Linked DNA regions of Arabidopsis thaliana. The protein of the gene in region 1 purifies or fractionates together with the protein of each later gene. This does not show direct contact. Each region holds a gene or a part of one and is shown in the gene's direction. Other genes may lie near its edges. The genes, in order: BCE2, AT3G23390 and AT4G14320.

Region 1 (7,171 bases):
ATGTCAAGGGCCCAGCGACGAGCAGTGGTTACTAACTCCGCAGGTGGCACCACAGCATCAATAAGACCCAAAGAATGACCTTCCTCAGCTTTAACTGGCTTAGATGTCTATATGTTTCAACAAAAGAGATGCTATTACACTTTAACCAAGGCACGCTAATGCTACCATAAGAATAAGGCACTGACATACCAAAATCATTTCAAGGGCTTTGGTGAGACCAACAAGACGCGGGAGACGCTGCGTTCCTACATCAATCCAAAGGAGTATAATTAGCATTATAAACGAAAGTGACTTGACTCATTCAACAAAAAAAATGAAACGAAGATCCTCTTCCCATCCTCAGCTCAGTATTATGCATTGAGAATGCCTTGACTTCTCCACGAGTTTTAAACCATATATTGATCAGAGAATTCAAGGACTTCACAGTCAGCGAAGTTGAATAGATACCTCCAAAACCAGGAATAACACCAAGTTGCAGCTCAGGCAAGCCTAACTGTGCAGCAGGAGCTGATATCCTAGCATGACAAGCCTGGAAACAAACCATACAACTGTATCACCATCCTTCCTCCTCAAAAGGATTTCTCGTGAAGGTAATAAATAACATAGAAACTCATACCATAGCAAGTTCTAATCCTCCTCCCAAGGCAAGTCCATCAATGGCAGCGACAGACGGTTTCCTAGCAGCTAAATCCAAGGAAAGAAATCAAATCCCTCAGCAACACAACTTACACAAGTATTCCATAAATCAAATAAAGTGGGTTTAAGTAGAAAGATCACCTTCAAGCAAGTCGGTTATGATGTCAATCGAAATGTAACCAGCCTTTGGCTCTTTGACTGAGAAAATTCATAACACCAGTATACGTTACTAACTAGATCAACACATACCACACTGATTCAATAACCAAAGATACAAAAGAGACAGAAACATACCATTCCCCTTCTGCATTTCACCAAAACCAGATATATCAAAGCCACCAGAGAACCTCCCCTTTGCACCTGTAGTTAAATAAAAAGGAACACAAAAGCCATTACCAGATCATCTCCAAAGTTTTCATAAAAAATGTTGTGTTTTTAGCGAGGAAGAGAATGATCTCCAGAAATACCAGTAATAACAATAGCTTTAACATCATTCCTGCTCAAGGCCTCCTCGTAATTACTTTTGAGATTGTATAGCACTGTACACAAATATCCAAAAACAGAGTCACATACAAAGAAAATTCACATAAACAGATCATAAATTCGATCGGAAGCTCAATTACAATCGGCGATATTTACAAAACCAAATCACGAAGCGAAATTGACCTAAATCTGAAGAGGTAAAATCCAGTAAATTCCGGATCATAAAAATAAAATGAATCTGAGAGTACGTACCGTCGAAGGATAGAGAATTGACGGGAGGATTGATGAGTGTTATGACGGCAACGCCATCGCCACCAACTTCCATCACCGTCTTCCCCTTGGTTCGTGAATCCATTTTCGAGCTTCGTTGAGATTTTGCGAGTCAAAATTTTCGGAATTAATGAAAAAGAGAGGAGACGTGAGAAATCAGATGATTATATAATTGCAAAAGATGATGACGTCAGTGATAATATGGTAGAGTGGCACACTCCTCAAAGCAACGGTACTTTGATAATGTTTTCGATATGTGAATTTTTATTTGTTATTCGTATCCAATTTATGTATAAGTTGAATTAATCACGAATTAGGAACAAAATATTTGCATTTAAACTCTGCGGATTTATTACTAATAAATATGTTTGGCTGGTCATAGTCCTGCGACTACCAAACTTGGCGGATCTTATCTTGATACTACGGATTTGTAACTAAGCGACCCTATATAGGATTTTACAGTTGTAAATAAACTTTACTAGAAAGAGTATCTCTTTTTTTTTTTAACATTATTAGTTTTTTTTTTTTGCGATTTATTTATGACATATAATCGATCATGCTGAATATTATATCTTGTAATATATGTTAATTCTACCATGACATCCGTTTTTTGTTTAATCAGATTAAAAAACAAATGTAAATGCAATCAATAGTTTTAGACAAGTATTCAAACCATAACTTGTTTTTTATTCTCTCTATTTATGGTCCGGTGAAATATCTTTTCACATGACTAAGTATCAACTTTCATACAGTTAACCATAACAGTAATAAAACGTCTAAAACTTAAGACTTCACTAACAATGATGGATTTGCTTAAAACTTAAAGGACGTAAACGAATATCTTCCAAGATCAAAGACGGTTGGCAAAACTCAAAAGACAAAAGACGTAAGTTAGATGTAATTTTGGGTTGGTAGGTAGCTCACTTTCCAAAGATAATGTTAGGCGTTTAGTGATGAAATAGATTGTATTTTGGAAGTAGCCTCACATTCACATCTCTAACTTGTTTGTTCATTTTTAATTGTTCAAACTTCAAAGTGTAACAAAGAATAATCAAGTGCAATCTTATGTTGGTTAAGGTTATCTTTCTTGCTTTAATGAATTCTGTCTATGAGAAAAGTGTGTCCACTTTGTAAGTCTGGCCTTTTGGCATTTTTCTTTTCGGCTTTAGTGGATCTGCTTGTAAAAGGCTTTTTTTGAAGTCGATATATATAGCCCACCATCTGAAGGAAAAAAAAAAAGTGATGTACATGAGGATACGCGTGTACCGTTGATCCTCTCCGTGATATTGCTGATGTGGCATAGATAAGCCAATCCGATAGTTTTTTTTCTCTTTTTCTTTTGGTACTAATCCAAATAGTTATTAATACTAATCAGTACCTTAGTCTTAATCCGGATACTCGAACAGAAACAAACACACGGGTACGTAACATTTATCTTTTTAAGCTCTCTTCTTAGAAACATCTTCCATCAACTCAATCTGTTTGTCTATTTCTTCTCCCTTGTACTGTTTTTTGTTTTTTACCAAAGACCAACCGTTCATAACAATGATCGCGCGACGGATCTGGCGAAGCCACCGGTTTCTCCGCCCATTCAGCTCGTCATCTGTTTGCTCTCCGCCGTTCCGGGTACCGGAGTATCTTTCTCAGTCGTCTTCCTCTCCGGCGTCGCGCCCATTCTTTGTTCACCCTCCCACTGTATGTTTCTTCTCACCAAATTTCCTTCCTTTTTCAGTTTTTTTTTTCAAATTAATTTTGAGGCATGACATTAGCTTCCGAGAAGCTCTTCTAGGCGGAAAAAGAAACATCGAAACTGTATAAATTTAGAAAGAAAATAAATTTATCAGAGAGACTTAAACTTGGAAAACTCTGTTTGCTTAGAATGTGTGGTTTTTCTGGTAATTTTTGGACAAAGGATCAAACAAGTTTGTCATATTTTTCACAGTTGATGAAATGGGGTGGAGGAAGTAGAAGCTGGTTTTCGAACGAAGCCATGGCCACTGATTCAAATTCAGGGTTAATTGATGTGCCACTAGCTCAAACTGGGGAAGGTATTGCTGAATGTGAGCTTCTCAAGTGGTTTGTCAAAGAGGTCTCTTTGGTTTCTCCGCTCAAAGTTTCTTTTTTTCAATTGTTCTGTTTCGTTTCGTTATGATATAGACATTTTGGTGTTTTTCCTTTTGCAGGGAGATTCTGTGGAAGAGTTTCAGCCACTCTGTGAAGTTCAGAGCGATAAAGCAACTATAGAGATCACAAGTCGTTTTAAAGGGAAAGTGGCTCTGATTTCACATTCTCCAGGTGACATTATTAAGGTTAGATACATTTTCTTTCTTTATGGTGTTAGAGGCTAAGTTTGAGCATGTTACTCTATTGTAAACCATGAACACTAAGAGATTTTGACATGTTAAGCTTTTGTGTTATCTATATATATATGTTTAAAGGTTCTGATAGATCAGGTATCAAATGTTTCACTTTTATAAGTACTTATATGTGGCAAAATCTATTGATGCAAGGTTGGAGAGACTCTGGTTAGGTTGGCGGTTGAAGACTCGCAGGATTCGCTTCTAACCACTGATAGTTCAGAAATTGTAACTCTGGGAGGTTCAAAGCAGGGAACAGAAAATCTTCTTGGAGCTCTCTCAACGCCTGCGGTTCGTAACCTTGCAAAAGACCTTGGCATAGATATCAATGTTATAACTGGAACTGGTAAAGATGGTAGAGTTTTGAAAGAGGATGTTCTCCGGTTTAGTGACCAGAAAGGATTTGTAACAGATTCAGTTTCTTCTGAGCATGCTGTTATAGGAGGAGACTCGGTTTCCACTAAAGCTAGTAGTAACTTTGAAGATAAAACAGTTCCTCTAAGGTACGCCTTTGTTGGCAATTTGCATTGTACATGAACCCATCTTGTATCTGAATTAACCACCTGAAGCTATATCCTTATTCTCAGGGGATTCAGCCGAGCAATGGTCAAGACAATGACTATGGCTACAAGTGTACCGCATTTTCATTTTGTTGAAGAGATAAACTGCGACTCACTTGTGGAGCTCAAGCAGTTCTTCAAAGAGAACAATACAGATTCCACCATCAAACACACTTTTCTTCCTACTTTAATCAAGTCTCTGTCAATGGCTCTAACCAAATATCCCTTCGTGAATAGTTGCTTCAACGCGGAATCTCTCGAGATCATTCTCAAAGGTATTTTTTTTCTAGGAACTTCTCATTGTTGTTTTGGTTTTGAGGTTAACATCCTTGGATTATTAGATATAGATATATTCTTGGTTACTTGCAGGTTCACATAATATTGGAGTTGCAATGGCCACTGAACATGGCCTTGTCGTTCCTAATATAAAGAATGTTCAGTCATTATCTCTGCTAGAGATAACCAAAGAGCTGTCCCGGTTACAACATTTGGCAGCAAACAACAAACTTAACCCCGAGGATGTGACTGGTGGAACCATAACTCTGAGTAACATTGGAGCAATTGGTGGTAAATTCGGATCCCCTCTTTTAAACTTACCGGAAGTTGCAATCATCGCTCTTGGAAGAATCGAGAAAGTTCCAAAATTCTCAAAAGAAGGAACTGTCTATCCTGCATCGATAATGATGGTAAAAGCTATTCTTGTTCATTCATTTCTTCTTAGTTACAAGAATTGTTGTTAATAACCAAGGTCTGATTATTTTGACTCAGGTTAACATTGCTGCGGATCATAGAGTTCTAGATGGGGCAACGGTAGCTCGGTTTTGCTGCCAGTGGAAAGAGTATGTCGAGAAACCGGAGCTGCTGATGCTTCAAATGAGATAAGAAGGAAAGGTTCATGTTTATTTGTGAATCATTATGTATGAAACCTTCATGTTCGAATAAGATCAAGAACTGAGCTAGCAGTTGTAAACTAAACAAGAAAGTAAAAGTCATATCTAATAACTCAACACAAAACTGCAACATATGAACACTAGCTAACCTCATAAGTCTTAACACGGAACGTTTTGTAAATAATGAAAATGTATTTATGAAGACGACACGTTAATTTCTTAAAAGGATCAACATTCGTATCTGTGTACTAAGGACTAACGTCTCTTTTCAAGACATTAATAATAAAGGAGTCGTGCAAGACAAAGGAATATCCACTCTTACCGGTTCCAGTCACTTTCGACCATCACGACTTGAAAAATCCAAATAATGATTATTCAGAAGTTGTTAAATACAAGCATGCATGTATCTATTATCTATAAAAAGAGGCAACTAAATTGATTCACGTGAGATAGATGAAACTTTGCAGCTTTCACCAAATTTTGAAAAGATAGATGAAACATCACATTTTTCTATTGAATATTTTTCCCCGACCAAAAAGAAAAGTTAAATTGTTCTTTTTGTAAGGAGTTGTTAACTTTTTACGTGACCAAGTAAATTGGGGAAGAAGAGATAGAAATCCTCTGTGGCTGCTCCATGTTAAGCTCTCGTAAGCTCAGATAAGGAATCGCCACGTCACCTTTCCTCGCCGGCGTCAATGTTCCCGCTATAGGTCCCGACGAAGGTTTACTCGTTGTTGTACGATACGGTGTGTTCGACCCACTTATTAGACTCTCCGTTGCGTAAATCGGACCCGACATTGACATGGACCCGGTTACGGAGCGAAAGTTCCTGACCCTACGATCTTCGTTCACGCCGACGGTGGAGATTGGCCATTTCCGCCATTTGAAAAAAGGGAGAGCTTTCTTCCACCAACACCGTTTCTTCTTCTTGTCGTTGTGCATTGTGGACCGGGTCGGGTTGTCTTTTGAAATGGGTTTCTGGATCTTGAATTGAAGACCGTTCGTGTATGATTTTGATGACGTTTCTCTCTTATGCTTCCTCGCTTCTTCCATAACCTTTCCATTAAGACATCAGAAACAGAGCCAAAATTACTCAAAAACAGAATGCAAATGCAGAGCCAGATCCATTGGATTTGAGTTTTGTTGATTTGAAACGAAACAAAACATTAGCAAAAACGTAAACATACCTGAAAGTAGTGGAGTTGGGGATCGAAGCCATAGTCGCTGAAATGTTGAGAGTTGGAGATGGAGAAGATTGGGGAAATGTTTGACATTTTTCTTACGAGGTCGTTTGTTGTTTAATGGAGGAAAAATGGGTGAAAGAGTTTTGTGAAGAAGAGATAGAAGAGAATGGAGATGGCCGTTGAGACTTGAAAGAGAGTGTGGGGTTCACTCAAATTCAATGCAACGAGAGTCGTCTATTCTGTCATTTTCAAACAACCCGTATTTTTCTAAGTTTTTTTTTTTTTTTTACTTTTATAAATGGCCCATACATGATAATTCATCTCCTTTTCAATTCCTTTTTTAGTCATTACAATTTTATCATTCGTCTTTACATTTCATACCACAAAAAAGAAAAATTAATCAATCATATCATATTCCAGTACCTAACGAATAACTAATTATACGTCTATATTTAACAATGCGAAAATAACTCTCCATATAACAATAAGCAGAAAAAGACACGTAAATGGTACTTACTGCATCGTACGCTATAAAGTCATGGTTTTAGTTCCCGAAGCGAGGAATGTTAATATGTTATTGTTTTCACCATTCAAACTTCAAAGACGAAGGGATTCAATATTGGATGTAGCCAGGCGCTCTCAATCTCGAAGGACGATACATGTGCATCACCATCACGTGAATCTATATAACACATGCATCTCCTAAATGTTTTAATTAATTAAAAACTCGTCAGTATTTATTTATATTATCCAATTAAAAGGCATTCAGATATTATAAGTAATCGTAATAA
Region 2 (5,294 bases), 6.2 Mb from region 1:
TTGGGAAGTTGTTGACTACAATAAAAACTAGTCCTGCAAATTATGTAGATATAATCATATAATTTATAATTAAGAAATAAAGTAAATTACCCAACTATATATTTAAGATATATATACATTATACATAGTGGTTACTGTATATGCAAACTATTTTGCTCAATAAGATGATTAGAGATTTACTTTTGGCTTTCCCTAAACAAAAAAACCGTATATCCCGCGTTTGCCAGAAAAAAAACGACTCAAAATCAGCTTAAAATAGAATTGAAGAAATTGCATTGAAACCACCAAATAAGGGAAAATCTTCTGGCTATCCTTTGACTTCCAACTTCTACATCCAATAATCATCCGCCACGTAGCTTTTATGCATATGTAAAAAAGAAATAGGCAAGAAAAAAAGAGAGCCTTTGTGATCGAACAAAGAGGACAACATTTGAGATTTCTTTCTTCTTACGTTACCTCTCTCTTAAACAAAACAAGAAACAAGATAACAACACAAATAAGTTTGAGAAAAAAACTTTTTGATTTGAAGATAGTAACATTTTGTGTAGTTTTCTTAACCAGGTATCATTTTCTTCTTCTCCAAACAGAAATAGATGTGTGTGTTTTTTATCTTATCGTTTGTTTATATATTCCTCTCAAATTTGCAGAAACTCATAGCTCTTGGACATCTATATGAATCTATTTCTTTGTTAAATAGGGTTTTATCTACTCCACAAACATGTAAGTTCTTTTTTATTTTTCTTAAGATTCTTATCGCAATAGGATTCACGCAAAAACAATTTAATTCTTTGGCCAATCTATGCATTACCGAAAGTTGTATCCCTAAGAGAAGAAGAATCTCAAAGAAAAAATATTAATTTATGAAAAAATGTTTATTTTTTTTCCTTGGTGTGCAAGCTAGGTATGCATCTGCAAGTTGAATATGACCTCACCTATGAAGGGTCTATTAAAAGGTTTGAGGTACATTGCTCGTATCTTCGGTGAGTTTATTTGTTCTCGAAACAAAGATCATATATGTCTATACAATTACCAAAAATCAGATTCTTAAATCTTATAAAAAAAAATTGTTGTAGAGGATGAGAAGGAACCAGAGATGCAGATTGGAATACCAACCGATGTCAAACATGTTGCTCATATAGGATGGGAAGGGCCCTCAGCTACCACCCCAAGCTGGGTATATCCTTCTCTCAATATTTTTATAACATATTCTACATATCTTTTGTTTGTGGATTAGGTCAAATATTTTCATGGGAATATGCAGATGCATGATTTCAAGCCTACCGATCAAACGAAGACTGAGACGAAAGGAACATCTAACAAAAAACCTGGGAGTTCCGGGGAGAAACATAGGAAGGGAAGACGTAAAACATCAACAGGAAACAACTCACCTACAGAATCTCCATCAAGGGTAGGAGGATCAGTAAGGCCATCAAAACGCAACACGGGGAAACAAAGAGAGCAGAACACGGGTTCAGGGTCAGAGTCAGGTTCAGGATTAGAGTTACCTCAACAGACTGATCAGTTTGTTGTACCAAAACAATCAAAGCAAAAAAAGTCAAAAGGATCAGCAACAGGAGGAGGCGAACCTCCTCCATCTAATGAACCATCAAACAAGAAAGAAACAGATATATCTGTGAGAGCGGTTTACCCTTGTGCGGGTCTTGGAAGTTCTACAGGAAGATGAAAGATGAGGAACAAAGAAAGAGAGTGTTATATTTTCAAGATTAGACTAGAGTGTGGTGGTGGTGGTGGTATTGTTTCTTCTCATGATTGATCTACACACTTTAGTCTTTTCTCTCCCTTTTGTTGGAAATGCCTTTGCATTACAAGACCAATGTTTTATATCGCGTCGAGAAAAGAGAACCCTTTGATGATTGTGAACCAGGGATGTGAAATATATGCTTGCTTAACACTCTTAAATTATTCTCAAGGAATCTTTCGATTGTGTTCTTAGGATTCAATTAGTAATAGACTTGAGTGTGTTTGACATATCTATTGGGCTTCGATTGTTTGTTGCGTTTACATGTTATAATAGGTTTTTATTTCTTGGTTCAAACGAAACCAAAACTTAAAAGTAAATCATTTTTTTCTACTGAATTTTGTTTTTGATGCTTTTGATTTCATTTGATCACTTCAACTTTAGTTCCAGGGTCTTGACGATTTAATTCAAAAAGCAAAAAAATCAATAGGAAACAAAAACTCATAAAGGACTTTGACATACAGATGGGCCCATTGTTTATGACCAATCCTTATACTATATATGGGCCTTATTAGTTAAACCTAAGGCCCAAAGTCAGATTAGGGTTTTCAGAAAGTGTACTATAAATTCTTCTTCTTTAAACAACTTCGTCTAGTGGAACGACGACGGCACAAAAGCTTCACCGGAGATCAGAGACGCGAAAATGGTAAATTGTTTCTTCTCTTTCGATGTGATTTTGGAATTTGTAAAGTTCGTTGACTTTGAAGAACAACAATACATGGTTGATTGATTTATTGTATTGTTTTTCAGATCTATCATAAAAGTTTTCAATCTAAATGATGTTTGTATTTTGATTAACCTTAAAAGTCTCTTGATTTTGTATGTGTGTGAGTGATTCATTTTTGATTTTATGAATTTTGAAGGTGAACATTCCAAAGACAAAGAACACTTACTGTAAGAACAAGGAATGCAAAAAGCATACTTTGCACAAGGTTACCCAATACAAGAAGGGTAAAGACAGTCTTGCTGCTCAAGGAAAGCGTCGTTATGACCGTAAACAATCTGGTTATGGTGGTCAGACTAAGCCTGTCTTCCACAAAAAGGTAACATTGATTATCATGCATTGATTGTTTTTTCAGTTTGAATTAGGTCTAGTTAGTTGAAATGAGGTAGTTTTAAGGAACCATTTATAGTAGAATTTTGGAAGTGAGCTGTGAGGAAACAGACATTCCAATAGTCTCAGTTTTGGACTGAGATACATCTTGTGAATCTTGTTAACAGGCTAAGACCACGAAGAAGATTGTTTTGAGGCTTCAGTGTCAAAGCTGCAAGCACTTTTCGCAGCGTCCTATCAAGGTGCATAGAACATAGATCAGTTCATTATACCGGATTTGTAACTTGGTAATTTGCTTACATTGTGTTGGTTTGTTGTTTATTTCAGAGGTGCAAGCATTTCGAGATCGGTGGTGACAAGAAGGGAAAGGGAACATCTCTGTTTTAAGTTGGTTTCATCTTATTTTCTGCGATTTTTGTACTTGCTGGATTTGGAATCCATTTGTTTTAGCTCTCTCGTATAAGATTGTCTCATCTTTGCTTGTTAACTCTATATTTTGAATCATCAAGATATGGTTTTGCTGTTAATCATTGACCTTCGATATTTTTTTGCCAATCCGTTCTCTCTACCAACCTAAGAAAAAATCACTAATATCTCACATTAGAGGGTGCAAAATTTGGAAGGTCTATATCATTGTCCAATTTTCTGAGTCATACAAATTCTTTCATATGATTCATTGAACAAGACACTCATTTACTTATAAAGCGCATTTATATGTTCACATGATTTGTACAAAACTCATGAGACTGCATCAAGCAGAAAGTATTTATTTATCTTTACATGTCAAAGCTTTGAGAATTAAGCAATGACGAATACCCTAAGTTCACCTCTGTCCCCGCGAGTTATGCGCATGGTATCATCAACATAGGTAACTTCGAAATCCCCAGTTCCAGGGTTTGACGATGGTCTGAAACTGTCGGGAAGCCTCGGGATATCAAACGGAGGAATCTGCGACAAGTTTCCCGATGTCTTCACAGTTGTTTTCTCAAATGTTATCTTGATCTTGCAAGTGCCTGTTTTCCCCATAAATGTCAAAGATACAGATAAGTTATTTTGCTCTTACACAATTCGATAAACTTAATGAGAGAAAGGGAAATGCAAACCTAAGAGTTCAAACTTGTGTGCCAATGTCGCAGTGGCTTCTAATGGCGGAAATGGCCAAGGGGCTCCTAATTCCACCTCTGCTATGTTATCAAAATCTTTGCTAAACACATCAATCCGTTGAAACACCTGTTTTAATGATTCAGAAACAAGAGATAATATTAAAGAAGTTTGCTTTCTACCGATTCAGGTATGGTTCTTTGCCAAATTTAAACCAAAGAAAGCTAGATTCTAAGCTCATCACCATTCAAACTCAACCAAGAATAAAGATGATTGACTAAGACCGTACACATAAACTTGGCAATATAGAAAAAAATGATTAAGGAGTAGATGACATTGCTAGATTCTAAGCTCCTCACCATTCAAGCTCAACAAAGACTACCAATGATAGACCAGACCGTACACATAAACTTGACAATATAGAAAAAAGTTTGCTTTCGAGTATAAGATGACATTACCAAATTGTAACCTCAGAAAGCTAGATTCTTAGCTCAGCCCCATTCAAACTCAAGCAAGACTATTGATGATAGACTAGACCATGCACATAAACTCCTCAACAACTTACCCGAAAAACCGAATCTTGACGGGTAAAAACAGAGCAATGATTCAAGAATTACCTGGCCAAGAGTAACAGGGATCAAACGTCCAGTAGGTAGACCAGGACGGCTACCACCTAAAGACCGAGAAGAGAACGCACTACTATACAACAGCCTCCATTTCCCTTGAAGCTTATCAAGATCATCGGTTAAATCAACCGGTCCCCCAGCAGTTTCAAGTTCTTTAGCAGCCACTTCAGCTCTTTCTAAATCATCAACACTCGCCACAAGTCCTCTGTTTAATCCCGAAACTACACTCTGCAATTTCTCACAACACAACACATCACAAATCAAATCTGAAAAATCTTCCCAAAATTCACTCTATAATCGAATCTTAACAGTAATATAAACCCTAATTCCAAAGAAACGAAACCAATTTCTTATAATTTCACCGATTGGTTTGAATCAGACTCACAAGTAATTTGAGTTTGAGTAATGCAATTTGCTTGTCGTCTCCTCCTGATCCAGATGATGATGGTGGTGGGTCACTTTCTCCGCCAATGGATACTTCAACGAGAGACGAATTAGCAGCGAGGTTTCTCTTCTCCGGTACAGTGAAACCCAAACGAGACGATTTTGGAGTAGTTAAGGGAGAAAAGGAGTATCTGATGGATGGTGGAGGAGAACGGTGGTCGGAAAGAAGAGCTGGTGGTGAAGGTAGTAGTGACGAGAAAGTAGAAGAAGTCGCCATTGTTGAGAAGGAAAAAAAAACGAAGAGAGTGAGATAATTTGTAGAGAAGAAGAAGAAGAAGAAGACTTTAATTATTATGTGATTTGAGAAGCA
Region 3 (6,619 bases), on another chromosome or scaffold:
ATGAGCTTTCGAGGGTTATCAGCAGCTGTTTCCCATTTAACATAGATATCTAGCTGACCGTTTTCCCTTTGATCGACTGAGATATTGTTTTCCTTTGCTTCTTCTACTGCTAGTGCTTCGGCCTTATTCGTAATAGAAAAGAACTGATTGTCTTTCTTATCAGGTGATGCAATATTGGCTTGATCCTCCTCCTGTCCACTGTGTTGAGACAGCTCTCTCTGATTGCCACAAAGGGTGAAAATGTTTTGAATTCTCAACCTTCTAGACGAGGCTGATTCCTTGTCATCTGCACCGTTGAAGCAGTTCTCTTTACCCAAACCTTCAGAGTTCAAACTAGGCATTGGTGTTGTTATCAAGCAGATGCTTTTATCCTCGACTATCACTTTTTCTTCCTCTTCTTCAACTTCTTCTTCTTCAAAGACAGTGCTCAAGCATACCCGGTCAGGATACATCTGTGTAAGCATATTCTCTGAAGGCTTCGGTTGCAAAAGGTTAGTGAAGTTGCTACTAATAGTGTTGCTTGATTGGTGTGAAACAGCTCCCCACACTTGCTTGACAGGTTCTGGATCACCCATGTCAAGGTCCATTGACTTCACCATACCAGGATCATCATCAGAGTAAAGACTCCTGAGTCTTTTGGCAAACCCACTAGTTTCATCAACACTTCCTCCATTTGAGCGGCGGAACTCAACCTCGATTTCCTCTAACCGTCTCCTCATCATCTCCAGTTCCTCTTGCTGCTGAACTATCCTTTCCTCCATTCTCCTTCTCTCCATCTCAACAAATTCCTCAGCCATTCTTCGGCATTCTTCAAGTTTCTTATCTAGTTCCGACTTCAAAAGCTGGGTTCTCTCGTTTACTTTCTCTTTTATCTCCTCTTCATTGGTAGCACAAGCTTCCCTCTGTGTTAAAAGAGATCTTAAAGCAGCAACTTCCTCTTCCTTCTTCTTCAGCTGCTTTTGTGCCTCATTCCTTTCTTTTTCTTTTTGCTTCTTCTCAGACTGGAGTTTGATAATGAACTCATCCATGGCAGCTATTCTTGATCCCAAAATCACAGCAGAAGCAGACTCATCACCCCCATACTTATCTTTGTTTGGAGTATGAGACCCACGAACTATGCACTTTGCTTTTGCCCCATACTCTAGAGTACAGAGAGTCTTGTGCATTTCCTTTGGATCCGGGCTCGCACACAGGATCATTAGAATCTTTGACTTGTCATCTTCAAAAGAGTCCTGCATTCAGAGAATAGAAACAACACTAAATATCTTCAAGAAAACCAAGCAACACGTAAAACATTTTCCAGAAGATAAAACAATGGAACAAGAATTTCACCTGGAGAAGCATGGTCAGCTTGCTGTCTCTAAAGGGTACATGAGAATCTCCATTTGCTATAGATTCCACAACTCGCTTCAGTGCAATATTTCCCTGGTTGATCTTAGCAGTCTGTTGAATAATGAGAGATATAAGTCAGTTGATATCCATAACTACAATAACTTTAGTAGAATCAAACAAATTGAGAGAGGAAACATTACTTGCATCTTAGCTTCAAATCCAGTCTGCCCAGCTTGGTCTATATTTTCAGAACCAGCCATGTCAACAAGCATCAATCTTCCCCCAACAGTTGGCACATCAAGTATGATCTACAAAAAGAAACAACCACACTAGTAAGTTAAAACAGAGATAAGCTGCATAAAGCTATGCATACACATCAATCAAGAAGATCGTTCTTACAATGCAGTGACTCCGAGAACTTCTTTCGTTACAAAGTGTACTCTTCACAATTCTCCGTTTCTCCACTTTGACAATTTCTTTAGAAATCTTCCCAGCCTCTGTCCCAGAAATAAAACTTGCGTTTTTCGCCTTTTTCCCCATTACTTCAAGCCTCACCTGTAACAAAACAACAAAGTACACACCTTTAAAGCCAATTCAATGTATACTAAAGTTATCAATCAAGAAACTTTACCTTAGTGCTTGCTCCTTTAGGCCAACCAATACCTAAATTGTTACTACTATTAGTCGAAAGAAGATCATAAATCTCCTCATTATAAACCTCAAGAACAGTAACTTGAACAAAAGTAACACCATCTTGATCAGAATCTCCCAATATATCTCTCAAAGAACGATACACAATCCCAGGCTCTTTCCCACAACCAAACATAGTATGACTCTTTCCAGCACCAGTAGGTCCATACATCATAATCGTGCATTTATTCCCAACTTTCACTCCTTTAATCCTCTCTTCTATAAACTTCTTGTAGAACTCTTCAAGACCTTCTTGCTCCGAGAAAGAAACACCGTCGAGTGTGAAGTCTCTGTACCCAACATCAGCTCTGACTCGTACCGTTTGATTATCTGTGTTGACTTGTAAGATCGAAGGTGATTTCTCTTTCCGGTCAGGGTAATCTCGGATCCGGCCGATTACTTCAACTGGATGCTCCGGTGGAGATGGATCTTTAGATCCGTCTGGGTTTGGGGTTTTTGAGTGGAAATTGAGACGTTGTTTTGTTTGTGGAGTTCTGATTAAGGTGTATTGAGTTTGATTTGATCTTGAAGAAGATGGTGTCGGTGCCATTGTTGAAGAAGTTTCGAAAGAGTGAAATTGAAATTGAGATTCAGAGAGCGTTAGAGAGAGAGAAAATGAAAAAGGGGATTAGGGTTTGTGAGTGATTCACGAGGTTTGAAGTTTGAAACAAAGAAACAAACATAACCGTTGTGTTGTATCTCTAAACGGCTAGTTTTTGTCCACGGGCCACTGATTATTAACAATTTTTATTTTCGGCAACTAGAATATATTTACTTTCTTTTAAAAAAGGGAAGTGAGATGGGCCTGACTTTTTGATTAAGTTAATGGGCTTTTTGTGTTTATAGAGGCCCAATGTTTGTAGTATTAGGGTTTTCTCAAATGTCTCTCTTATAAGCTCTGTTACTTTAGGTTTTTATTAAAGGTTTTGCGGCAGTGGAAGACGACGGCACGAGCTTCACCGAAGAGCGAAAATGGTGACTCTCTTCTCTTTCTTTATTTCTGCTAAATTTCTCCTTGGTTACTATTGAAGAACGAGATTATTGATTATAGATCTGCTGTGTGATTTTTCTTCTTCTTTAAGTTGTTTATTTCTGATTTTGCATCTTAAATCGAGAATTATTAGAGTCTAATTGTGATTTTTAGAATCTGTTATGTTGCATTCTGTGTTGTAAATTCGAAGATTCAGTTCACTTCGTCTCTGTGAAGAGTTTTAGCTCCAATCTACCAGAGATTCAAAATGATATAGTGTTATGTATCTTCATTTGTGTTGCTGCAATTCTGTTCTGATTTTTAGGAGAATTAAGAAGGATTTGTACTTCAGGGACTTGTAGGATTCACAAAATGGTTATCAATATTGACTAGTTGAGTAGTCAGATCGTATGGTAGCAATTAATTCTGAATGATTTAGGAGAAGCAGGAAATTTTATTAACAAGTTTTAGGGTTTGTTCTGAAGGGCGTATTTAGATTCACTTCTATGATCGTAATTAATTCTGTATGCTGTTGAAACTGTATCTTGTGGTAGTTTTAAACTTGGTTTTCTGTAGGTGAACATTCCGAAAACTAAGAACACTTACTGCAAGAACAAGGAGTGCAAGAAGCATACCTTGCACAAGGTGACGCAGTATAAGAAAGGTAAAGATAGCCTTGCTGCCCAAGGAAAGCGTCGTTATGATCGTAAACAATCTGGTTATGGAGGTCAGACCAAGCCCGTCTTCCACAAGAAGGTATACTCGCTTTTCCTTGTCTTGATCTCTAATTACTGTCTTCTATGTGAGAACCAATTTAGGATTTCAGAATTGACTCTGTGAAATATGTCTTATAGGAATGATTTGTTAATTGGACCTTGCTCATTATTTGTCTTTCTTTGGAACAGGCTAAGACAACTAAGAAGATTGTGCTGAGGCTTCAATGCCAAAGCTGCAAGCATTTCTCGCAACGCCCGATTAAGGTAATGTCTGCGACATTCTTTACCTTTGTTAATCACTCTTTAGTCTCAGTTCTGTTTCTTACACTTTGTGTGTGGTTTTTGCAGAGGTGCAAGCACTTTGAGATCGGTGGAGACAAGAAGGGAAAGGGAACATCTCTCTTTTAAGTTGTTGTTTCATCTATCTACTTTTTTTTGTTTTGTTTGGTACCTGTCCTGCTTCAATACTGTGATATACTTTGAATCTACCAGAAATGGTCCTGGTTTTTAATTTAAATAGGACTTGGTCTTATGGATGTCTTTTAATTTGGTTAACCAATCTTTCTTCATTAGGCTGCCCTTGAGTATTCTCTATAACTTGCGACAAAGTAGACATAACACTCTTTAAGTTCTAAAAACCACTTTCTATTTTCGGATCTCGAAAAATCATTTATCGTTTTGTGCTGCAAATCAGTGTTATATATGAGCTTGGCAAATTAAAATGACATATACGTATAGAAATGAATTGATAATACTAAATATTATTTGTTTTCTTCTTTTAACTTCAGCCATACTAACTTTCACTAAATTTCTTAAGAGCATACAGAAGTTTCTCCTCGGTATATTGGTGGTTCTATATTCCCCGCAACGTGAATGGAAAATGAAGGTTCTATTTTGGCTATATGATAATCATGCCATTAGCTGACCCGAAACTAATGTGTTACAATAAAACCAAATTATATAAATAGAAGAACATGTTTCCTGGCTCCTTATTGCACAAAAGAGAACATGAACAACTCTTTTTATATTACCATGATAGTCCTATGTGTTTTGGCCTTTGTGTTAGTTTTAATTGAGAGCTGTGCGGGCAAAATGGTAGATGAGATGATATTCTCTTGTGTCTGCTGTGGTGGTCCTGGCTGCTGTGGTGATAGAGGAGAAGGACCTGTTGGTGGTGGTATTGACAATGAACCGGTGAATGTAGTAGTGGTGGTGGTGGAGCCAGGCAGCCAGCGGCGGAAGATGTGGTGACGGTCAAGGATGCTACTTCAGTTTTTCTTTTTTTACTTTATTATACTTAGATTCTGGTACTATATATATTATGGGTATAGATAATTTACACTAAAGTTTTATTTCCGTTATTTAAAATTCGTGTTTTATTTAATCTCTAATTTTCTGTTTCCAAGTCGAATTCCTCTGTACTAATTATACGGCCTTTTAATTTTACAATATGAATAGCCATTTTCTACTAACACATTCTTACCTTTTAGAGGTGTTAATTTTAAGGTAAGTTTCTTCTCTACAATTACGTAATATCATTCAAATCTGTTCATGCTGACAAAAGTTAGGTACTTTTGTGTATATTTCTCGATCATTGACATTGTCTACTACGCTAATATCTAAGGAAAGTGGCATCGATTCTACTTGCTTGTAAAACATACATCGCGATGTAAGTCAAATTCTCTAATAATGTAAGAAACGAAGTGAGAAAGAAAGATAAATCCAAAAAATTTACTTGCAAATCAATAGAGATCCAAACCAACTGCGCATGCGTTAGTCAATTGATATATTGTATATAATAGAACAAATACAATTTTTGTTTTTATAAATGTATAACCAAAAACGTAAGAGCAATACTATCGAAATAAATACGTACTGCATATTACACGATAATAATAGAAAGAGATTTGATGTTTGATCACTTGGAAGTAAAATGGAGATAGAGAAACACAAAGAGCAATACGACCGGAAACATCAAGATCATTGGAAGAGATGGTGCAGTCACCGGTCCCATCATCAACGGAACAAACAGTAACATTAGTGCAACGACAACAATCGCCAAAACCGAACCCATCCCGAATCCATACTCATTCGCCATTTTCGTCTACTTTTCGATAGGAGTAGTGATCAATTCTGTGTTAGTGTCTCTAATTGGAGAAGTTATATATACACAGATTCAGACATCAAATCTACGGTTGTGTCGTTTCCCCGAGAAGTAGAAGACAACGTTTCGTGTACTAATGCATGAAACACAAAAACTGGCGAGACCTTTCACGTTAATAACCACCTCAAAACGCTGCGTTTCGGTTTATTTGTTGCTGCCACGTGTTTTAAAAACAGCATACCCTAAACGCATCGTTTCGTGTCGCAATCAACTATTCAACTGTTACTGTATATTTTATTAAAAACGCAGCGTTTTAGTTAACAAAATTCGTGTCGCTATTTCTACACTGCCACGTGTTTCAAAATGTCGCGTTCTGCATTTGTTGCTATCACGTGTTTAATAAATTTACCTAAACGCTGCGTTTCGTTAATCAATCGACTTTTTGAACATTCGCGATCTCCAAAAATTTTGAGTTTTTTTTTTGGAAATCCCGCCCAAATATTTTGAAATTGAAACTCTAATAAATTTGTCGGCTTGTGGAGTTGCGGTAGTGATATCCTCCATTTATCGTTTTGTGCTTTTTCTTCAAAAATCAAAAGCTTTTATTTTTCCCCCAAACTTTTTTTTCAAAATCCTAAATCATTTTACCCTACGATTTTGCAGATGTCAGCTTCAACGAATCGCCGCCGGCTAAAAGATATAAACACCGGCGCCGGTGAAAATCCATCATCTGGTAAAAAACCATTGAGGTCTGTAACTCCACTTCCGATCTCAAGCAAAAATTCAAATCCCGCTCTTCAGAAATCA

What was found.
Region 2: the proteins of BCE2 (region 1) and AT3G23390 fractionate together in Arabidopsis thaliana (co-fractionation; one large-scale study listed by BioGRID). This does not show direct contact.
Region 3: the proteins of BCE2 (region 1) and AT4G14320 fractionate together in Arabidopsis thaliana (co-fractionation; one large-scale study listed by BioGRID). This does not show direct contact.

The regions. Positions count from the first base shown.
Region 1 is NC_003074.8:2,156,229-2,163,399, reverse strand, and holds BCE2 (2-oxoacid dehydrogenases acyltransferase family protein), read left to right. Parts: upstream 1-2,730; 5' UTR 2,731-2,809; exon of another isoform or gene 2,810-2,917; 5' UTR 2,918-2,934; coding exon 2,935-3,084; intron 3,085-3,331; coding exon 3,332-3,478; intron 3,479-3,572; coding exon 3,573-3,698; intron 3,699-3,899; coding exon 3,900-4,249; intron 4,250-4,333; coding exon 4,334-4,581; intron 4,582-4,675; coding exon 4,676-4,992; intron 4,993-5,074; coding exon 5,075-5,188; 3' UTR 5,189-5,469; downstream 5,470-7,171. Other genes in the region: MFP2 (multifunctional protein 2), read right to left, coding at 1-107, 190-245, 448-529, 617-684, 778-834, 931-996, 1,104-1,175, 1,372-1,474; AT3G06840 (uncharacterized protein), read right to left, coding at 5,776-6,252, 6,384-6,470. UniProt on the Arabidopsis thaliana protein: The branched-chain alpha-keto dehydrogenase complex catalyzes the overall conversion of alpha-keto acids to acyl-CoA and CO(2).
Region 2 is NC_003074.8:8,373,025-8,378,318, forward strand, and holds AT3G23390 (Zinc-binding ribosomal protein family protein), read left to right. Parts: upstream 1-2,308; 5' UTR 2,309-2,402; coding exon 2,403-2,405; intron 2,406-2,622; coding exon 2,623-2,802; intron 2,803-2,980; coding exon 2,981-3,055; intron 3,056-3,140; coding exon 3,141-3,200; 3' UTR 3,201-3,412; downstream 3,413-5,294. Other genes in the region: RIC5 (ROP-interactive CRIB motif-containing protein 5), read left to right, coding at 923-980, 1,074-1,174, 1,262-1,684; FIB4 (Plastid-lipid associated protein PAP / fibrillin family protein), read right to left, coding at 3,612-3,826, 3,917-4,043, 4,532-4,768, 4,926-5,201.
Region 3 is NC_003075.7:8,240,181-8,246,799, reverse strand, and holds AT4G14320 (Zinc-binding ribosomal protein family protein), read left to right. Parts: upstream 1-2,889; 5' UTR 2,890-2,994; coding exon 2,995-2,997; intron 2,998-3,568; coding exon 3,569-3,748; intron 3,749-3,897; coding exon 3,898-3,972; intron 3,973-4,056; coding exon 4,057-4,078; coding exon of another isoform or gene 4,079-4,116; exon of another isoform or gene 4,117-4,370; intron 4,371-4,774; coding exon 4,775-4,959; 3' UTR 4,960-5,068; downstream 5,069-6,619. Other genes in the region: AT4G14330 (P-loop containing nucleoside triphosphate hydrolases superfamily protein), read right to left, coding at 1-1,232, 1,333-1,443, 1,533-1,640, 1,732-1,887, 1,964-2,572; AT4G14315 (uncharacterized protein), read right to left, coding at 5,627-5,806; AT4G14310 (Transducin/WD40 repeat-like superfamily protein), read left to right, coding at 6,476-6,619.